Linked DNA regions of Tamandua tetradactyla. The protein of the gene in region 1 purifies or fractionates together with the protein of each later gene. This does not show direct contact. Links are inferred from orthologs where the notes say so. Each region holds a gene or a part of one and is shown in the gene's direction. Other genes may lie near its edges.

Region 1 (7,973 bases):
CTTGAGGGGTTCGGGAACCTCAAGATTAGGGGTTCTGAATGGGGGAGAGGCTCCTGATGGCCTCTGGAGGTCTGTGAACCCCTTGAAATTGTGTGTAATGTATGTCCATTTTTCTTGATCCCAAAAGGTATCAGTGACCCAAAAAGTGTTAAGAACCACTGCTTAACAAGGCCCCCGAATTTCTCTACAAGTCTTCTACTGGCACTTGGGTTTTATGAAGGTTTGTGATTCCTACATAGTCTTGAGAATATTCTACAAGGCCCTGCTGTTACTGTATAGGGACTTGGGGCCTCTACACCCAGAATTTTTCTACTGGATCTTGAGAATCTTTGTATAGGTTTCTAGGGTCTGTTTGGGGGATTTGAGGTTTCCTTGAAGCCCTGGTGTCTCTTTCTGAGATTCTGAGAACCACTGTCAGGTCCTGTGATCCTTGCATGAATTCTAAACCCAGGTCTCAGGATGCCTCTGAACCCTCTGAAATAGGCAGTGAGATTTTTGGCTTCTATCTATAAATGTGTAATTCTAAGGAGAGGTTTTGCAGATTACATCAGATTCTCAAAGGGATTCATGAGTCCCCCAAAGCTGGGAAAAACACTGCTTTAGAGTATCCAGTATTGGACAGACCTTGCTTCTGTCTCACTAACTAGAGCCAAGAAAGAATAAGGTAGAGGAGATAAAAGGCAGTTTGCTCCATTAGATAGAGTTTTGGAGGCAGGCATTCCTGGGTTAAAATCCCAGTTTTTCCGCTTACCAGAGGAGTGACCTTGAAGGGTTCCTTAACTTCTCTAAGCCTCAAGGCCACCTCCTCTAGGAAGCCTTCTCTGCCTCCTGGATTTGATTAGATTCCACCAAGCCCTCAAAGTATCTGGGCTACTCTTTTGTAGCACTTAATGTAATTGTTATTAAGTAATTAATTGTGTTCCATGTTAGGCAGTGAGTCACTTTTCATGAAGTAAAGAGGGAAAGAATGGAGGGATGTCTGCCAGGCACTGCACTAGGGGCAGAAGGGGATCGGAGATGAATAAGGAGGCGATCCCAAGCTAATGGGGGGAATAAGATGAATTCCCACAGGGAAGATGTCCTAAGTGCTCTCATGGGGAAAAACAGTAACAGGCAATGCACCAAGTGAGCCAATGATTCAAAGAACTGATATGATGCCCTCCCCTTGTATTATGTCTTATAGCTAAGAAAGTACTTAACTTGTGTAAAATATCCTGGTATACCCTTACCAGGCAGGAGTGGGGTCCGGAGAGAGGAACTGCTGCTGCGAGTCATTTAGTGGCTTGTCCAAGTCCACCCAGCTAATGATGGCTACTTGAGTGCAGAGTCTTGGTTTCCTAATCTGCAAAATAGGAATAATGACTTCCTATAACCTGTATAAAATATTATTTGTTAAGTACACAGCATCATGCTTGATTTCTAGTAAGGATTCATAAATGCTTGTTGAAGGAATGAATGGATGAAATTCATGTATTGATGGTGCCCTAAAATGTGAGAGGACTCAAAATCATGCCATGACTTCCTTGAGACTTGGCACTGGCCTCAGTCATATTGTGTTATAGTTTATTGTTTACAAAGTAACAGAAATGAATCAACTCCAGCTTGGTTAGCTTTCTTTTTGACATATGACTTTACTGCCTTTTTTCTGATGACAAAGTAATATGTGCACCTTGTAAAAAAATTTAATTGCAGAAAGATATAATGAGGAAAAACGAAAGTGCGAGTTTTAGCACAGTAGGCATAAGATGCTGACTTATTGCTATTCTTTGGGAAGTGGAGGAAGGGCATAGGACAGAGGGCAAAAAAATTTTCCTGCTTTAATATCTCCCCTACTGGCCCTGCCTGAACGTTCTTTTAGCAGTCTTGCTTTTGGCTTAGAGCGTTGAAAGTTTCAAGTGCAACCAGGGACTCAGGTTGGAGGAGAAGATGAGAACTGGCTGGACAGGAGCTTTCCCTGGAACCCCTTAAGAAATGGAATGGGATCTGCAGAACATTCTATGGCATCAGGCACAGTAGGCTCAGATGCCCACTGCTGATGTGCCTTGTAGTTGTATCTATTTCCTTTCCTCTCTTCGGCATTTAGTAAGATCTTTTTTTCTAATATTTTATTGTAAACAACAAACAAATACACGTTCTTTTTTTTGCATATTCATCATCACGATCATTTCTTAGATTATTTGCATCAATTCAGAAAAATAAATAAAAAGACAACAGAAAAATAAAATGAAACGTAAGATCTTTTTTGAAAGTTCCTGCTACACATGTGCGTGTACACACACGCAGACAGAAAAATGATTGAAAGTCCCGTTTTTCATTTTTTATATTCTCCATATTTTTCTCTGCATATTCTAAGCTGTAAACATGGGATCCTATCACACCTGCAATTCTGCAACTTACTTTTACTTCTTTCACTTAGCAATATTCAGGGGACCTGTTTTCTTGCCTATTCCTGCAAAATACCCTATGCTTTTTTTTTTGACTAAGCTTCTCGAGAGTGGGAACTGTTATTTAGCCCTACTTCCAGCCCAGAGGCCTACACATCCTTTAACTGTAGCCACAACATCCTCGCATGAACTAGGTGCCAGGCTCTGAGCTAAGCTCTTTCATGTATTTATTTCATTGAATCTTTACTACCACTCTCTGAAGTAGGTACTATTATATTCCCATTTTGCAGATGAGAAACTGAGGTGAAGAATTTAAAAGCCCAAGGTCAAACAGCTGGGGAAGGGTGGAGCTGGAATTTGAATCCTCAGCTGTGATGTGTCAAAGTCTGTGTTGGGAATGGATGAATAGAAAGTTGAGGGGGCCACGGGTTCCTGGTGAAAAAATTCTGTCTTCAGAACCTCCCTTGTATACATTGGGTTCTCCCTTCTAAGGATTTGCAGTGCTTGGAATTTGTATCAGCACATAGGATGAATTCAATAAAGGCCTGCAGAAATTCTGTGGCCATGCCTCCTTTTCATGGGAAGTAGCATTTTAAAATCTCCTATTCTAAAAATACGCCACACATTGTTAGGGACCCTTGACCATCAGCCCAAGCATTTTAGGATAGCCATTTGCCTGTCTGCAGTGTAAGAAATTAATCAGAACCCCAAAGCTCTTCCTCTCTTCCCACTGGCCAATACTCTCACTCCTAAGGCCTTGCTGCAGCTCTCCTCGAGGACTGCAGAGATGCCAAGGGCAGTTTAGCACAGAACCATCTCTCTGTAAGGAAAACGAAAGGAGAAAGGCCCAAGGGAGAAGCATGTCAGCTCAGCTGCAAAGCACTTGCAGAGAAAGCTCTGCAGCTGTCATCAACTTGAAAGTGGGGGACGGGGCCCTAGGGTCAGAGACAGCCCGGGGTATCAGACTGGTCATGATTGTGCTGAATCCACACAGGTTCTGAAATTTTGACTGCTAGTTCCCCTTTGAATGGCAATGTTCTGTGGAGCTACTAGCCTTTTTTCTCTCTCAGGACCCCAAAGTCTTCCTTTGTAGAATGATTGGGTGGATTATCGTGGGGGTGTTGTGTGGTGCTAGGCGCTAGAAATAATATTGATAATGATGATAATAATAATATGACAACCACATCATTTGTGGGACACTGTGCTTGCTGCTTTCCACACAGTAGATTATGTAAATTAAAAACAAACCCTAAAATGACCATATTATTATATCCTATTTATGGATGAGGAGACTGAAGCTCAGAGAGACCTAGAAGGGGCCAGAATGTGGGTATTTGATCAGAGGTTTGTTTGGCAACAGAACCTGAGCTCCATAAAACCCTGTGGGTTCTGACCTGGAGGAAGTGCTAAGAAACAAGTTGGTCAGTTCGATACACGTTAGAATGTGACCATGCCTCATGAGAGTTAAACACAATGGAAGGGAAACTAGGAGGGGTGGCACATTGAGATGAGACAGCAAAGGAAGAGCATGAGCAAAGGGGCAGATGTGGGAAAGCAGTGGGTGTGCCAGGGGGAAGTCTGGATAAACTTTACAGTGTGTGTGTGTGTGTGTGTGTGTGTTTGTGTGTGTCTTTCTGGAAAGGTAGGAAGTGATCAGGCCAGGCCAGGACTTTGGCCTTTATGCCATAGGCAAAAAGTAGCTTACACAAGAGATGTCTCAAGAGGCCAGCTATGCTGCTGCAGTCAGAGAGAGAGCAGCCTTTGGTGTATCTGTGTCCCGGCTTGTGAATGCTGCTCCCTGCCAGAGCGTGGGAGGGCAGCCGTATGGGAGAGTATCTCTGGCTGTGTCCTGCACCCTTCTGGGTGTGGGTCTTGGCCTCCCTTCAAAACCCTGCCCACTTCTCTGGGCTCTGGGTACCTTGGAGGGATTTTTAAGATCATGTGGTCATCACTCCTTCCCGTTTTAAAGAAGCTGAAAGCCGGGAATATGAATGGGAAGGGACTTGTCTAGGAGAACACAATGAATTAACTGCAGAACTGGAGACTGGAATTCATACCTTCTGAGTCCAACCTGATTTCCTTTTCCACATTTGCCCAATAACACAAATGGGATTTGTTGAGTGATTACTTATTAAGGGTCCTGGACTAAGCGCCTTTTACATAAATTATCTCATTTAATCTAACAACCCCCTGTGAGAGCACCCCTCTCACTTCCCACCGCGCCTAGCACAGGTCTTGGGTACCTAGCTTGGCAGGCAAAATAACTTGGCAGTGTTCAAGGCCTGGGAAGGGGTAAAGGACGGAGAGGGCGGGACCTTCCGGAAGGTCCCTCCCTTCGCCTCAGGCCCCGCCCCGACGATGACGCCACCAGTCGGCCCGCCCCTCATTGTCAGTCCCCTGGAGTCGGAGGAGGCGCCGGCAGCCGGGAGTCCAGAGCCGAGCTTTCGGCCGGCGGGAGCACGGGCCAGAGTCACCAAGGTGAGGGATCTGCCGGGAGGCGACAGGACTACTCTCCGCTCGCGGCCCCAGGGCGGGAGCGGGGAAGGAGCTCGGCACTGGCGGCTGGGGTGTGCCGGGGCAGAGGAGGGCAGCCGGAGGGGTCGGGACACCGGCAGCCGAACTGGCGGGCGAGCCAGAGGGGAGGTGGGGGGGGTGGGGATCCAGGTTGCCTCCGGGTGCGCGTATGTGTGTGTGTGTGTGAAGAGTTTGAGCGGATTTTGGAGGAAGCGATCGGGGGAGAGACCCTGACGGGAGATCTTTTGGGGCGAGACCTTGAGATTTTCTTGGAGTTGGAGGAAGAGAATTTGAGGAGATTTTTCTTTCGGTTGGGGGAGGGACGGTTCTGAGGTGACTTCTTGGTGGGAGAGAGAATCTGGAGAGGGATGTTGGGGGTGGGCAGAAAAGCAGAGGAGACATTTTCGGGGGACGAGGCTCGGAGAAGACTTTTTGGAGTCGAGTCTGGGGTGCGGTGGGAGGGCGTGCGGAGTGCGGGCGAACGCGGCGCGGCGCTGGGCGAGCAGGCGGGCGCGGGCCGGGCGGGGCGGGGGGCCTGGGCGCCGGGGGAGGGGGCTGCGCGGGGCCAGGCGGGCACCCGGGGAGGAAGGAAGTGATCATACAGGAAGAGCCGGGAGCTCCCGAGGAGGAGGAGGAGGAGGAGAAGGTGGGGGTTTGGGAGCGCGCCGGGTCGGCGTGCTGCACCGGCCTGCGGACGGCGGACTGCGGGCGCCCGACGGCGGACTGCGGGCGCCGGGCTGCGGGGCTGCGGGGCTGCGGGGGCGGCGCGGGTCGGGGAGGGGTCCCGCCGCCGCCGCAGCTGTCGGCCGCGCGGATCCGTGTCCCGGGCGCTGCTGGTCTTGCAGCCAGACCGCTGGGCCGGGAAGGAATTCGAGGCATTCGCTTTGTTTAAGTTGCCAGTAGACAGTCCTTAGGACTAATTAATGGTGGAATCTGCAGGGGACGCGGGCGAGTCGGGCCGGGGGCCGCCCCCCGCCTGCCGGCCGCGGTGAACTTTCCGCAGCGCGCTCGGCCCGCCTCTCTGCGTACCCCAAGCCCCCCTCGTTCCCCCCCCCCCCCATCTCGGCCCCGGCGGGGAAGAGCCATGACTTCCTCAAGAGCAGGAATGAAGCGCGGTTTTTGGGGCCGGTGGGCCTCTGGCTGTGAGGGGGACCGGGCGTCGGGAGCGGCTGTGTTGGGGGTTCGGAGTCCGGTTTAGGGCTCCCCGAGGTACCTGTGGTTTCTGTTAATAACCTTGGAGGAGGCTCTGCAAGCCGAGAAAGACCATCTTGCTTTGGAGCATCTGTTTCGGCATCGCGTCAGCCCCTTTCCTAACACTGCAGAGCTTGTTGTGGCTTGTTTCGGAAATGCCGAGGCCTGTGCTCATACTTGAGGGTGGGAGGGGGAGAGAATAGGCATCCCCGAAAGAACCTGCAGTGTGATCTCCGCTAGGCCGGAGACTGCTTGCAGATTCTCCGTCGCACCTTCACTGACTTGAATGACCTTGGGGAAAGGATTGTGCTTCTGAACTGGTGTCTTATCTGTCCACTGAAGAGAAAATACTCCTTTGACTTCCCTGCCTTTTGGGGATATTTTGAGGGGTGGGGTTTGTTCAAGGTATTTCTTTTATGAACTGCTGCTGCTGTGGCTTGAGGAGCTGGACTTGTCACAGCCTGGAGAGTTCAGATTACCCTGAAAGATTCTACTACCTCAGGGAGGGTTTTGGATTTTAGGAGGATATTTCCTTTGGGAGAATCCATACAGAACATTTCTTGATTACTTTCCATCACTGTGTGCAGCATTGGTGGTATTGGAGTGGATAAATTGAATAGCCCTCATAGAAAATTCTTGTCAAAAATAACTATTTTGCTTAGAATTCCCCATGGGGCAGATTAAGGATTTGCTCAATTTACTCAGAAGAATTTTTCAGGTTTCTAAAATTAAATCATTTTTCTAAACATAGTAACTAAAGTTAAAAAGAAAAACTGGAAATAGTGGGATGAGAAGGGAGGGATTTGGAGTACGGAGAAGGCAGCAAATACAGGTTGGTTGCTGACTCGCTATTGATAAAATAACTTAGATTATGAGTTAGTTTTTCTTGATTATTAGATAATTTCTTAAATTATTTAAGACCAAGAAAGGGAACTAATATTATTGAGTTGTTATTGCCCACTAACTGCGCTAGGTGGTTTATATTTCATTTGTTCTTCTCAACAATGCTATGAGGTGGTAGTTGACTTCCTTATTTTGCAGATGTGCAAATTAAGGATCAGAATGGAAAAGTGACTACCAAGATCACACCTACAGCTAATAAGAGGTAGAGCTAGAATTCAAACCCAAGTCCCGGTTTATAAGATCCGTAGTTAATTCTGCTACGCATGTTCCCTCGGGAAACATGCGAAAGCCTTTGAAATAGCCACTGATATGCTGTGAACTCTGGAATAAGTAAATTAAGCTTGTTCTCCAAAAATATTACCTTCTTACTTGCAGCAATGCCAGTATGCTGCTGGGATGCTCCAGTTTTTTGATAGAAAGACAAATGTATAAGGCTGTGATAGTGGTTTGTCCTGTATGCAGTTGGCCCTTAATAGCTTTTAGCTTATGATGGAAGAATTGGTATTGAAATATAGAGTACCTGAGTGATCACAGATTTTATTTATGGATAGCTAATGATCCTTACACTGTAAGAGGTTGTTGTTGTTTCACATTGATGTGAAACTGAACCATTGTCATGTACCATGCATTTTGCGGCTGTTGACTTAGAGCAAAGCACACTGCAAGTTGAACCCATATAGTCCAAGGTGAAAGATTTGACTTTGATGCATGTAATAGTAAATATTTGCTGAATGAGTAAATATTTGCTGAATGAGTAAATGCATGAATTCCTTCTTTTGGTTCATTTTAAAAATTGTGGTAAAATATATGTGACATAGAAATCATTTTAACCACGTTTTAAAGTGTACAATTTCTGTGACATTAAGTACATTGACAGTGCTGTGTTACTTTAACCATTGTCTATTTCCAGGATATTTTCATCATCCCAGACAGATGCTCATACTCATTAACCAATTCCCTCATAGCCTCCTCCCTCCTACC
Region 2 (7,253 bases), on another chromosome or scaffold:
TACTGCCCATTTGCCCACTGCAGGAAAGTTGTCTGAAGATTTGTTTCTTAACGTATCAAAAGACATTTATAGAAATGTAAGTAGCTGGAGCAGAAGGGAACATGAGTCCTTGAAGTGTGTGTGTATTTGGGTTTTAGTTGCTGAGTTAGGTTTGTAATGGGCAGTGAGCTTCCTGGCAGCCAGAGGGGCAAGAAGTTTGATCATTTTTTATAGTAATTAGTAAAATATTTTGTAGAAATTGAACTTACAAAGCAGTATTATATATTATAGTGATATATTTGTGCGTCTGTGAACTAGCTTTGGAAGAGGCGTCACTAAAAGAAAGCCCCCATATAAAATGCCAGGAGATTCTCCTGGAGGAGTCTGTTTCCAGTACTGACCAAGATCTACTTGATTTGCCAATCTGGTGCCCCTCCTTTGTTCTCAAAACTTAGCTGGGATAGCCAGCTGACCTCCGGCAATGGGCAAGGGTTCTCCAGTGCTGAAGGACCGCTGGTGACTATTCAGGCTCTTCATCCTGGCCTCTTTGGTGCATCATGAATCCGCACTGAGCCCCAGCTAGTGTGCGGGATGACCTAGAAGGGTCGGGCAAAGTGAAGGGGTTGTACTTGGTTCTTAGTATGCAGGTGCACAAGGGTTTTCATGTGGTTTGTGGACTTGTGAAGTCCTCCCACCACAGTCCTGCCAAAGACTTGGAAGGAAATGGCAGAAAAGTCTTGAATATTGTCAATTTGCTATGTCTTTTTAACAAGGAGAATGGACTCCAAGAGCAACATTTAGACAGCTGTCACTGCTCTGTTCGTATCAAATATTTGTATATACTTAGCCACTATTTTAATGCTTTTTAAAAAACGTGTAAAATACCCCTTTAAAAATAGTACAGAGGGGGTGGTACGATGGCGGCTCAGTGGCAGATTTCTTGCCTGCTATGCCAGAGACTCGAGTTCAATTCCTGGTGCCTGCCCATCCTAAAAAAAAAAAAAAAAAAAAAAAAACGTACAAAGGGAACTGAAAATGGCAGAATAGAGAACTCCAGCTCTCTTACCCCCCAACCCCCCAGAAAAAAAAAAAAACTAATAACAAGCTGGTAAATACCTGTCAGGATCAGTTTTTGCAGAACTTTGGAATCAAAACAGCCAGGGGAAAACTTAAAGTGGCTGTGTTGTGCCAGACCAGCGGTGGCTGTGAAGACAGCAGCACACGCTCCTTGTGCACCTGGCTATTTCCGGAGCAATTTCTTTTGCTCTGGCGATTTCTTTTGAGGTACAGACCTCAAAAGAACTGTCTCGTGGCACTCTTGAGGGCCAGTACAAGGGCTTGTATTTGTTTCACAGCTCCTAGGGTGTTTCCAGAGCGGTGGTAATTCCCAGTTACCGTTTGCTAAAAGCATTTAGAGGTGATGGAATTAGCTGCAGTGGCGTGGGGCAAGGGAGAGCAATAGGTGGAGAATTCTGTGGAGGAAGACATTGAGAAATGGGTAAGTTAGAGCTGGGAACTCCTGTGTACATTGGAGAATTGGGACAGTCACACGTGTGCCTAGGACTGGGTGCTTGGCTCAGCAAAGGCCTGGGAAGACCCAAGCTTTAATCTCTGGCTGATGTGCGGGCTCCTTGAGAGCAGGAGGTGAAAGCTAAGGTAGTGTAAATGGCCTGATTAAACGTGAAAGGGGTGCCCCAATACAGCCAATGTATAAAGACTGGGAGAATGTTTTTCTTTGCTTGGTGTTTTAAAAAATACTAAGCTTCTATAAGCTAATGGAACAGACTTTAGGGACCACACGCAACAAGGGATACAGACTTGACGAGAGCTTAGAAAAGTAAACCAGTTGCCACATTACAATATTCAAAATGTCCTGTGCTCAAAAACAAACAATGCAAAGTATGCTTAGGACTAAACTACCAGGAGAATGGTGTCAACAAACATATTGATAAAGACTTGGAAATAATAAAATCTAATAAAATAGAAATTCTGGCATGCAAGCCTATAATTGAGATGGAAATTCAGTGGGAAGGGTTCAGTAGATTTGAGCAGGCAGAAGAATCAGTGAACTTGGAAATGGGTTTATTGAGTTTACCCAATTAGTAGCTGAAAAAAAAGGAAAATAACAGCCTAAGACCCATGGGATTCCCATCAAATGTACAAATAAATATACCAAAATAAATAGCTGAACTGGATTCATAAAAAAACTAAAAAATCCTTTATTCATTGAAGGACATCAAGAAAGTAAAAAGATAACATGCAGAGTGGGAAACAATCACATCTGATAAGGGCAAGGGATCTGAATAGACACTTCTCCAAAAATAGGCAAATGGATAATGAACACCTAAATGGGTGCTCAACATCAGGGAAATGCAAATCAAGCCTGCTGTGAGATAGGACTTCACACTTAGTAGATGGCTGTTAATGGGAGGGGAGAAAAAGTAAGAATAGCAAGTGTTGGCAAGAATGTGGAGACTCATGCATGGCTGAGGGTAGTAATGTAAAGCTAAGCAGCCACTGGAAAAGATACTATTTTTCAAAAAATTAAGAGAATTACCTGGCAGTTTCACTCCAAGGTATAGACCCAAAATAATTGAAAAGTGACTTAAACATACTAGTTCACAAAGGTTCATAGCAACATTAATCATAACAGCCAAAAAGTGGGAACATCTAAAATATCAGTGGATGAATGGATAAACAAGATGTGGCATATCCATGCAATGGAATAGTATTTAGCCGTGAAAAGGACTGAAGTTCGGATAGAGCCAACAAAATGGGTGAACTCTTAAAATACGCTGAGCTAAGTAAACCAAACTCAGAAAGTCAGATATTGTATGATTCCTTTTATATGAGATAGGGGAAATAGGCAAATTCACAGAGGTAGGATGTGATTATTGGTTGCCAGGAGCTGGAGGGAGGGGGAAATGAGTTATTGTTAATGGTGCAGAGGTTTTATTTGGGATGATGAAAAAGTTGTGGGAATAGATGTGATGGTTATAAAAACAAAACACTAATCCAAATGCATAGTTCAAACAGATAAGATTATGTTGTGTCAATGATACCTCATTAAAACCTTAAAATGCTGGACTACTGTATTTGCAACACGTGTTGTCAAAAGAATTGCATCACTTAAAGTGAAGAAGTGCGGAAGAAAGCGAATTCCAGCCAGAAGAAACATCTCGTGCAGAGACGTGGAGGAGCCAACTATATGTTCCAAGTCAGAAGGAAGGAAAGTGGGGTTGGAGTGGATTGAAAAAAGGGGAGATTGGTAGGGGATGAGGCTAAGGCTGTCGGCAGAGACCAAAGGGCGCAGGGTCTTATGCCCAGTGGCCTCGGACGTGGGTCGGCATCAGCTTTGGCTCTCTGGGGATGAATCTCGGCTATGCCATTTACTGGTTGCGTGACTTTGGGCTGGTTAACCTCCCTGGGTCTGTTCCCTCGTTAGTAGATCGGGGAAAATATTAACCTCCTAGGGTTATGGTTCTGGTACCTTCTAATGCTCAGGAAATGCTAGCTATTGTTATTTATCTTGAGACCAATAGGAGTCATAAGTTACTCAAGAAAAGAAGGAAGTGGGATGCTGAACTCTAGCATCCGGCCCCCACGCTTCAGGACCGGGTCAGAGGAGGAGAGGTCCCGGGCTCGGAAGTTGGCCTTCCTTCCGTCAGCTTGACCAACGTTCCTTTCAGCCAATCAATTGTGGGCAGGTCAGCCCGTCGGCCAATGGCGAGGCCGCATTCGGGAGGGGGGCAGGACATCAGATGGTGGAGGGCGGGGCACCGAGATGACAGCGCGGCGCGCCGACCAATGGGCGGTGGGATTCGCATCTCGGAAGGCGGGCACTAGTGGACGCGGTGACGTCACGCAGGTCGGCACGTCGCGGCAGTCTCGACGGCGGGGGACTAAGGCGGTGGCGGTGGGCGCGGCGGCGGCAGGACCGGCCTGGGGTTCAGGGCCGCGGAGGGCCGCGGAGGGTGCGGAGCGGGATCGTGTCGAGGCCGGAAGGCTGGGTGGGGGCGGCAGAGACTCTTGGGGAGGGTTCTCGAGGTGGGGGCGCGGCCGTGCCGAGCGCTCTTGGAGGACACGGGGACGGTGGGAGGTTGTGGAGGGCGCGTTGGAGACTCCCTGGGGGTTTCGGGCCGGAGAAGGAGCCGGTCCGGGGCCCGCGAGGGGCGTGGTGGCCTCGGGGAGGAAGGTCAGGGGTTGGGGAGACTCGGGTCCACGAAGGGCCTCTTTGGGGTGAAGGACAGTGGAGGAGACTCAACAGCAGCCTTTTCGCGGGCGTGGGGGTGGCGTGGAGGAGCCCCAAGGGGGCTCGTTTGGGTCTGGGGGAGACCGAATTGGGGGACGTTTAGGAGGGAGGACGAGGAAGAGGTTAGTCTCCCTAGGACAGTGGAGGACGCAAGAGGGCCGAGGGGGCTCGCAGGAATCTGGAAGGCGGTGTCCCAGCTCCTGGGGAATTCAGGTTTGGGGAGCGGAAGAGGCGGGGGCATGGCGACCGCCGAGGAGGGACTTCAGAGACCCGTCCAGGTGCATGGGGTCAGCTGATGACGAAGCAGATGGGGGTCTGTTGGTTTAGAACTACCTTGGGAAGTTTGGCAGCCCCTGGGGTGTGGGGGAACTTGCTGGAATGTGTTGAGGACTCTGGAAGAGCAGGTCCGGAGAAGTCAAGGAGGGGGAGGCAGAGAAAGCTTGGGGCTCTGTGTGGGGCAGCTGTGGGGTCCTCTGTGCTTGGTGGGAGGCCTGGGGATGGGGTGAAGGTGTTACAGTGAGGTAACGCCAATCTTTCTGGGTGCTTCCGGCCTCCACACAAGAGGACACATGAAAGTGTCCAGCCGGCTAAATGCTTTTGGGGAAGTGATATGAAACTTACTTTCAGTGAACGGGTCATTCTGCTTTTATAGGAGAAATACCTGGTGGCTGAGCTCCTGCCTTCCTTGTTTCCTTCAGGCTCATGGTGAACGGTCTCCCTGAGGCCCTGTTCCCAGACTTCAGTGAATGACTGGACTTCCACTGGAGCAGAAGTTTCTGGAAGGCAGATTGGCTACCATGTCAACGTTCAGGCAGGAAGATGTGGAGGAATACTATGAGATGGGGGAGGAACTGGGCAGGTGAGCCATCTCCTCTGACTGGGCTTTGCTGGGAGGAAAGGGGGGCTGCAGGATTTTTCTGAATGGGAACTTCCTCTTCAAGCAGAAATGAGACAGCGGCATGTGTTGGTAGAATGGGTTTGGTCTTCAGTGTTAGCCAGCCCTGGCTGGAATTTTCGCTCTGACATTCCCTCTGCATTTCCTTGGTGGCAAAATGGAATCATTCGAATAAATATGGTGCCTGGCACAGGAGATGAGAACAATAGGTGCTAGTAATTTTATTAGAGGCCAGTCCCCCTCTTTTAACTCTCTTTTGTATGAGATGAGCCGTTGGAGAATTTCTTCGAGCTTCTGCACATTTAAAAGGAAGGCCTCTTGTCTGGCCCGTGTCCCTGCCAATTGTTTTACATTCTTGTGGGAAAAGCTGAGGTTTCCCATTCCAGTGAGGCAGCTGATTTCCTGCCTGGCTGGGTTTTCAAGGTCCCTTTGAGGACCCCCCCCCCCTCCCCACCCCCTAAACACACACTGCAGGGTAGCCAGTCACTTTCTAGGCCCACCCTGATTTGTGGCCCTTCAAACCTTATTTGGTGAGTTTGCTGCTGGCCAGCCTTCCTGGAGCCGCCTTGGCAGCCCCATGATGTCACCTAATGGGAATGTAAATAAGCATACCATGTGTTGTGCCCAGCCTAGACAGAGTTTCCAGACTCATTTGGAATCCTTAATTCCTTCCTTTAGAAATTCTTCCCTTAGAATGGTAGAGTAAGCACCCCCCCCACCTCCACCCCCTGGAGAAATCATATCCTTCATTGTTGAACGCCTCTTAGAGTCTCCCACTGGAGGAAAGTTTGGCAAAAGGCAACAAGATTTAAATGGTGCTTTCCTTTTGACTCACCAGTTCCACTTGTAGGAATTAATTCAGTGGAAACACATGTATAGACCCGGCTATTTAAGAACAGGGTCAGTTACTATAGTAATGGCAGATAAGCAAGGGGTGGAAAACTACTTTCCTGGCTGCCCAAAACCTGTGACATCCATTGACAGGAATATTAGGCAATTATGCAGTTAGAAGAAAGCAGGCAAAGATCTAGCGCTGCCCAAATAAAAATATAACATGAGTCGCATATCTAAAGTATTTAAATTTTCTAGGAGCATTAAAAAATAAAAAAGATACAGGAGAAATGAATTTTAATAATAGGCTATTAAACTTTATAGATCCTAATGATTATCATTTTGACACGTAATCTGTATTTTAAAATGCCTCAATATTTTGCTTTTATTTATGTATTTATTTAGGTCTGAAGCCTTTGACAGCTAGTGTATTGTTTGCATTCACTTATACAGCTCAGTTCAGCCCAGCCACATTTTGAGGGCATATGGCTAGTGGCTGCCAATTTGGACAGCACAGCTGTATGTAATGTTCTGGAACATTCTGTGAGGTACCTGAAGCATAAGGTTAAAGACAATGTAATCACAGAGTTGTATTTTCATCATCTGTATCTTTTCTGATTTTTTTTTTTTAATCCAAGTTCAAGTGCGCCTTTTCCTTCAGTTTATTGATCTAGTTACTCAGGGGTTGACAAATCCAACTTGACATTGGGTTTTGTTTTGTTTTTTTCCTTTTCTTCCCCTCCCTGACACTTATTTTGTACAGTCCGTGGTTGTACATTTTTTAGATGGCTGGGAAAAAAATAGTTAGAAGAATTAAGTTCCATGACATGTGAAAACGATGACCTGTTCATGCCTCAGGGTTCACAGTTGTAGTTAATAATTAACATTGTGTCAGAACAGAGTCACGCTCACTGGACTACATGTCAGCTGCTTTTTGCATTACAGAAAGGTACAGTCATGACAGAGACAGTCTGGCCTGCCAAGCTGAGAACATTTCCTCCGTGGCCCGTTAAAGAAAAAGTTTGTCAACCCCTTGCATTTGGTGGAAGTTGCTCTGACCCTTCTCCTATGCTGACCCTTGGCCTATGCTATTTGCTTTGCTTCCCAGGTGGTTTCCCTTCTCCACGTGATAAGTTCTGACTCATCTTTATGGGTTCAGCACTGACTCATCTCTGAGATGGGTGCCTTTTGTCCCCCACTCTTCCCCCAGAGCCTCTGCCCCCACCCCCTATCACCTAATTTTGCAGAAATAGACAATGTACTAAGACTGGGTTTCCCACCTCGGCGCAGCCGACC

What was found. Proteins that work in one complex are often made in the same cells at the same time.
Region 2: the proteins of LUZP1 (region 1) and DAPK3 purify together in Homo sapiens (affinity purification with mass spectrometry; 3 studies listed by BioGRID and IntAct, with this or other methods). This does not show direct contact. The link is inferred for Tamandua tetradactyla from reciprocal best matches to the Homo sapiens genes LUZP1 and DAPK3.

The regions. Positions count from the first base shown.
Region 1 is NC_135328.1:203,115,476-203,123,448, forward strand, and holds the start of LUZP1 (leucine zipper protein 1), read left to right. Parts: upstream 1-4,766; 5' UTR 4,767-4,862; intron 4,863-5,501; exon of another isoform or gene 5,502-5,544; intron 5,545-7,973.
Region 2 is NC_135337.1:78,077,015-78,084,267, forward strand, and holds the start of DAPK3 (death-associated protein kinase 3), read left to right. Parts: upstream 1-3,849; 5' UTR 3,850-3,895; exon of another isoform or gene 3,896-3,953; intron 3,954-4,929; 5' UTR 4,930-4,977; coding exon 4,978-5,090; exon of another isoform or gene 5,091-7,253. UniProt on the Homo sapiens protein: Serine/threonine kinase which is involved in the regulation of apoptosis, autophagy, transcription, translation and actin cytoskeleton reorganization. Involved in the regulation of smooth muscle contraction.